2 linked regions of the Arabidopsis thaliana genome follow. The protein of the gene in region 2 interacts with the protein of the main gene of each other region in a pairwise test. Each region holds a gene or a part of one and is shown on either strand. Other genes may lie near its edges. The genes, in order: AT5G55690 and AT1G72350.

The links.
Region 1: the proteins of AT1G72350 (region 2) and AT5G55690 interact in a two-hybrid assay, tested with the Arabidopsis thaliana proteins (one large-scale study listed by BioGRID).

What each region holds. Positions count from the first base shown.
Region 1 is NC_003076.8:22,548,044-22,552,127, forward strand, and holds AT5G55690 (MADS-box transcription factor family protein), read right to left. Parts: upstream 2,052-4,084; 5' UTR 2,028-2,051; intron 1,603-2,027; exon of another isoform or gene 1,601-1,602; 5' UTR 1,581-1,600; coding exon 747-1,580; 3' UTR 664-746; downstream 1-663. Other genes in the region: AT5G55680 (glycine-rich protein), read right to left, coding at 1-318; BAM4 (beta-amylase 4), read left to right, coding at 3,830-4,044.
Region 2 is NC_003070.9:27,238,463-27,241,780, forward strand, and holds AT1G72350 (MADS-box transcription factor family protein), read right to left. Parts: upstream 1,486-3,318; coding exon 811-1,485; downstream 1-810. Other genes in the region: AT1G72340 (NagB/RpiA/CoA transferase-like superfamily protein), read left to right, coding at 1-20.

The sequences.
Region 1 (4,084 bases), on a different chromosome or scaffold from region 2:
TTCCCCTGTTACATCTCGTACCATTGCGTCTCCTCTGAAATCCCCTGTTTCATCTCCGGTGACTTCCCCTGTTTCCTCTCCGACTACATCCACGACTCCTGTCTCTACGCCTGCAACTTCCCCTGTATCCCCTCCCACTACAATTCCAGGGAAGTCTCCAATCTCTGCTCCAATGATAAGTCCCACCACCTCAATAGAATCGCCTGCCACCACCCCATCAAACCAACCACCAGTCTCCGCCGATGCTCCATATATCGCAGCAACATCGCCAGTAACAACCCCTGATATTCCATCAACTCCAGCGAATACGCCGGACATATTTCCTTACGGACGAGGTCCGGTGAGTAGTTCTGCACCAGCGACGGCGAATCTGGCTCCAGAGACTGCTGAGGTTCCCGCCGGAGCCAAGTCGGCTTCTAAATTCGTTCAACATGATCTCCTATGCATATTTTTGATCTTAGTAGCCACTTTGGTTCTTCCAGCTAACTAGCTTTTTGTCAGACTATAAGAAGACTCTTCAGTATATCTTGTAATTCTAATGAACAAGATACTTACTTGTTTTGTATTGATTACTTTATAGTATATTAATGTTGGTAGATTATATTTGTTAGTACAATATGTTTTCGTAAAAACACCATTTTCTTATTCCATGATATAGCTATGAAAAAAATCAACAAACTTAATAGAAACTTGATAAAAAGAAGTTTATAAAGCAACATTCAAACGGAAGAAACAAATGACATTTCTCACATAGAAAGTTTACTTGAATCCTCCAAATCATTAACTTGTGCAAACCTGAAGGGATAATCTTGGAACTGCTTCACATTGTTGAACATACTGTTTCCTAAACCCCAATGTATTGGCTCCATATAAGCTGTCCTCTGTACCATCGGACCATATGGACCATCCGAACAACTCCCGTAAAACAAGCTTTGCCCGTTCGCTATCATCGGCTCTGTCACATTCGAGAAGGAAGACACTTCCGCAGTATTTGAGGTCATCTGGTTATTAAAAGGGAAGAAAGAGAGCCCGTTGTAATCCATAGTAGGCAGAGGAAACAACTGATACTGCTCAAAACATTGCCGATTGTAACCGCATAAACCAAGTTGGTCATTAGACCAACAACTAGTGTCAGGAAATGTCTGATTCCTATTCGTAGCCTCTTGGATCTTGTTTTCTACTGCCATGAAAACCGCATAGAGGTCATTTAAAGAACACTGGTCGAGCTTTTTGTCCCATGTAGGATACTTTGTCGCAATCGTCGGTTTCTCCACCTTAGTGTTGTTTTTCTCCAAGCATTCTTGCACGGTGTATGTCTTGGTGCAGCTGCTTGACGCAGTGTCTCTGTACTTGGTTAAGATTTCACGGACTTTGCTCCCATCCTTTGGCCATAACTCGGGCTCCATGACCATTTCGTCCCCTGCTCTGCTCGGGCCGTACACAATGACACAAGTGTCCACACCGCAGAGTGTTGAGAACTCACTGGCTTTCTTATACAAACATGCTTTCCTCTTCTTGTAAGTCGTTATCCTCGTTTTCTCGTTCGTTATCCTCGTCATCTTTACCATCTTTCGACCCATCCAGATACCTTTGCTTCAATCTAAAAAGCCATAAAAGAGTAAAACACAACAATAGATCATAATCTTGAAAATTGAAATAGTAATATCATCATTTGGATGTAACGATCAGCTACCAAAACATACAGAAACACTACAAATTTACAACCAAAGCACTAATACTAGTAAACATTTTGTTGTCAATAAAAAATTTGTAACTCATATAGCTTTTAGGTTTACATTTTAACATTTCATAGCAATGTAAGCCTTACAAATGTATAGGGAAGAAAGATTCATATTATTTTATTCTCAATTTTTTCACTAATAAGCATAATCCTTATCGTTTTGTCAAGCTTCCTATGCATAATTCCAAATCCATATACGATTAACACGAATAGTAAAACAGATGGGATATTAACATAAAGTAAATGCAGAGTGATTACTAGAAGAAAAAAAGAATGTATATAATACCTTCTTTAAGAGCTCTACTTTCTGAAGTTTCTTGATTTAACAATGGAGTTCCTCTTTCTGTGTTTATATAAGACACACGCAAAAAAAGAATATATGTTTTTTTTTTTTTTTTTTGTCGTAAAGAATATATGGTTTATTCTCGAATATTGTTTCCTCCCCTAAATTACGGTAGCAATGCTGATATTTTATTTCTTTCCATGTTTTCGAGTAGAATTAAAGAGGACGAAGCTATACAAATCTTTAGTTTCTATGTTCACGCACAAGTGATAAGAGTTCAGTTAAAGGAAAACATTGTAATTACAGCATGATCAAGAAAGAAGATTTTGTTTGTGATTTGTGCCAATTAATTTTCTCAAATATTCCTTTTTTGCTTTAATTGAAAACTTTGTTAATATTCTTACGGAAATTTGGCGCCGGAGGTGGCTGAGGTTCCGTTTGCAAGTTGCAACAATGTTCTTATTGGTCTTCATGGCCACTTTGGTAGTTTGGTTGTATAGAAATTAGAAAAAAGATTAAAGTTTGTTGTCGTAAGTTTGTCACACTTCTGTGATGACTATTTGTACTGATACTCGATAGTTCATTTTAATATAATACTAGGAGACATCGACAAATAATAAATTTGTTTCATAAAATTTTAAACTACTAGTAGCTGTTGGTGTTGATCGATTGATCGGTAATTCATAGCCTTTGAAATATACATTTAACAATTTCACCAATCACCATATGCTCATACGCACTGGTATGTAACTAAAAAATGACTAGAACTTGTAAAATGTCCCATGCAATTATTACTTAGTGCGTATTTTGAAATTTTGTTTTTTTATCCTTTATTATCTTTCACATTCGAATAAATATCAGCTATATGTGATAAACAAAGTTTTGCCACTTGATGAGTAGTACTACGAGACTGAAACGTGACATATCGTGGACCCATGATTTAATTTGATCAAACTATATGACAATGAAGACGGAAATAATAGGTTAACTTAAATATGTGAGACATTTTTCGTATACTATTTATATGCCAAATTCACTACTATAATTGGTAATAGGCAGTGTTGATGGTGGCGAGTAGCATGGGATATGTTCTAATGGGATATTTTACATGCTTATCCACTAAGGGACGATATGTTTCCACGTCAGCAAAATGGTTAATTCCATTTTCTTTGTTAAAAAACCTTATTCAATGGATATTTAATATCATATAAAAAAATTACCATCTAAAAGTACAATTAGTTTGACTATATGCTATTCAAGTCCTCATAGTTTTATTATTCAATTATAAGTCAGTCATAATAGAAATTTAAACTTGTTTCCATGTTACACATTAAACACCAGTTTGAAAAAATCAACTCTGATTTTTATAATAAAATAAATGTAATCTCAATCATCTCCTGAACTTCAACAAGTAAAACGTTAATTAGTTTTGATAATTTCACTGATTTGTTTCATAAAAACACCTATACTCCTATAAATAATTAAATATTGTAGGCACGAGGTATATAGTAGAGAACGAAAGTTGGGGTCAATTATAGAAATATTTAAAACATACGGGCAAAAAATAGAAAATAAAGGCAATAAAGGAAAAAGTATAGGGTCAAGAAGGAATTATAAAGTTGATAATTTTCTTGATTTAAAAATTCAGTATATATATCAGAAAAGCCCCAAATAAATTTTGGGTCGTTAAAAAGAAAAGAAAAAGAGAAATAGAATTTTGCGTTTCAAGTACTCCATCTCCGTCTCTTTTCCTCCGCATCTAAAACCATCTGAGAAATATCTCCGACGAAGGAGAAGAAACGAAAATGACGGAGACTGGAGTAATCGGATGTGGCTGTCGCGGAGTCACCGGCGGCAATTTCTTCCATCCCGGAGGATTTTCTTTGAAATCTTGTTTCCTCGAGCAGAGTACAAAGCGTAATCGTAACTTTTTCCGAAGCGTTTCTATGATTCCTCCTTTCAAACGCGGTCGTTTCATCACTAAGTTGCGTTCCGTCGCCGGGAACAGCCGAATCTTTAGGTAATTAGTTTCGCTCTCGCTGTTAAATTCATGAAAAATG
Region 2 (3,318 bases):
TTATTCAACTCTATCTCTAATTTCAACTCCTAATTAATAACTAACTATTTATACTACTTTTGCTTCAGAAGTGAAAACTTCCAATTTTGAGCCTTTTAAGATCTTCAAAGTTCATGTTTTTATCTTAAATATTGAGGTAGTTTTTCTGCTTCGTCTTCCGATTTAGATCAGTTTCCGCCAGTTGGCCCAGTTCTCCGGTAACCAGTTTCCGATCCTGGTATCAACACCGTTAACTTTAAACAATCTTATCTATTGAAGTAGCCATTTATTACTCTTTTGCCTAGAGACTATAAACATGTACAACATACCTAATCCTCAGTCCTCGTGGTTCCAATTTTTGTGACATGATTTGATTTCGAATTGTGTGTGGAATATAGTTCTAATAAGAACCTCTAAAGGATCAACATCACCATGACCAGATTCCGATCCTCAAGCCCTCATTATTACGACCATTGACAATTCGTAGACAAGCTAACCTCCTCAAGTGTAGCCAATGGTTGGGGAAAATATTACATCATTTTTATATAAAAAGAAACTGTTGGAGAAAATATCCTAACAGTTTCAAGAAAATAAACAAGAAAGACAAAAACACAAGCTCATAAAATAAAACCAGTATTATTAATAAGCTAACTCCACAGTTAAGAAAAGGGAAATATGAATTTCAATTTCGGAATACAATTTTTTTTTTTCAATCTTAAACTTGAAAGCATTAGTTAATTTAGGTAAACGAATTAAAAAAATAGTTTAGATCAACCTATAATCTATATGTAATAACACCAAACTGTAATAATAAATTAAAGAAAAAACACCTCACTGTCTACCGTTTTGAGGCATAAACGCAAACTCCAAATCACCATTGTTACCTCCATAACCTCGATCGTTCCTAGCCATCAGATTTTCATTCGTTAATTTCCAGTCAGCCATAGCCATCTCATTTGGAAATGCCGGAAGATTCTCAACCGTCCGATCACCACTCATCTGGTAGATCCTCGTCAACAAATTCTCCCTTAACACACTCAAGGCATTCTTGTACTCTTCCATATGCTCCTCCGGCACACTCTCCACCGCTCTCTCCCACCACATCAAACCGTCGTTATCTTCCTCTCCGTTTGCCACGTTACCACCGGGATGTGACCTCAGCATCACCGGAGCCTTACGCAAGTATTTATCGATGAGTGAGTTCACGTTACCAAACGAGTAGATCCTATCGCAACGTGAAAACGTTATGATACCAATCTGTGCGCCGCAGAGAACGCTTAATTCTGCCGCTTTTTTGAAAAGCCCGGATCGTCGTTTGGAAAACGTCACTTGCCTTCGGGTCTCCAGCATGATCTCCTTGATCTCTATCTTCTGTCGACCTTTGGTGGTTTTAGGTTTTTTTTGTTTAGTCTCTTTTTTTGGTTTGGCCAGCAAGTTAGGGTTTTGTAGGGGTTTTGGTTCCGTGGTTGGTAAGAAAGTGATTGTTGAAGCTTCCCCATCCTCCATATTGAAGACAAGAAGAACAAGAGATTTTTGTGAGAGATTACAAGGGTTCTTTGGGAGAAATATTCCGAATTATATTTATATTCATAGTTTTGAACCATATAAGGAATTATTGTCTCATCATAATATATGCTAATTGTGGTATTAAATGCGCGTCTCAATAAGTTAACATGATATTTGGAATGATTCCATAAACAATCAACATTAACTTTTTTTAATCTAAGTTTCGTGACATTATTTCAAAGATTTACGAGATATACTTACTCCTTTCTTTTCTTTTTGGACAAACAAGATGCTTACTCCTCTCTATTTTACATTTTTGTTATATATAAAATATAAAAAAAAACTAATGATGATGCTAATATATGTGGGTCTCATATACGAATAATATATGATCAAATCAAATATATATATATGCATATGAGCATATGGATGTTAATGTTATTGTCAAAGAAAACACTGGCCTTAGTATAGTTGAAATTACAAAGTATAGTTGCCACATGAAAGGTTCCTCGTGGCCATTGCGAATATTTAATTCCTTTAAAATTATTTTATTCTTTTCCATTTAATATATCAATTAGTCTTTAATTAATTAACCACTCCACAAAGGTTCAAAGTAAGGTTGATAGATTAGTTTAGATTTGAAAAATGGTTAGTGGAGAAAACCACGGGTTCATTAGTCAGTATTAGAGACTGCTTATGGTTTCAAATTAAAAGCTATACCCCTAAAGGTAGGATAACAACTACTATTACAAATTAATTAATTTTTGTTAAATCTATATATACATTTTTGCAGCCATTTTGTTAAATAAATCCTGTAGTTGAGATTTATTTACAATGGTTGTCACTGGATTTTAATGTTTGTTTTTGATAATTAAAAAGAAAATCTTCGAATTAAATATTTGACATTTAACAATCTTCCCAAAATCTCTCCACATTAACTACACGATTATTTACTAAAATAATACTTCTAAAATATTTAATATCATTTAATTACTACAAAATTATCATTTTTGATATTGCTTTTCTCCATGACTATAACAATTCGATTATAATCATCAAAGCGCAGAGATATAATCTGATAGCATTTAATTACTACAAAATTACAAAATATTTAGACAATGATTCATAAACATATCATAAATAAGATCAACATTAATAAAATAAATGGGTTTATTTTTACAGGACGGGTTTGGAAGGACGTTACTTAATAACATTTGTAAACTATAAAATAAAATTATTTTATAGATAAATACAATTTATAAACTTTTATATATACTAACTTTAAAAAATAAATTATTCCCGCGATATACCGCGGGTTAAAATCTAGTGTATATATCAAGTTGTAGCAAAACCAGCTGTTGGTATAGTTTTTTCATTAAAGTTGTTCCATAAAGGTTTTAACTAATCACCGTGACGACTAAACACATTGGTTAAAAGTTAAAACCCATGTCGATTTATTGACTCTTGAAAGGTGAATAAGCCAACCATTACTATAGGTATAGGTTTTTATTTTTATTTATCTTATGCCAAAAATCCAAAACGACTAGTATGACGCAGTAAACTGGGTAGATATAAGAATCATGGTCATTAAAACTCAAATATACGATTCACTTAATGTAAGATATGATTAAAGATAAGAATGGATTAACCCCCAAGTAAAGCGATAAGATCGAATATATTAAGTTCATAAACTCAGCTAAATGCAGATCATTACAGACAGTGGCGAAATCATTTAAAAAGGGATTAACCTATGATGAGGATAAAATGGTAAAATTAACAAAGCCCACTTGGCCCAATTGTCGTTCCGAAGAACACGCCTTGTCGCTCTGCGTA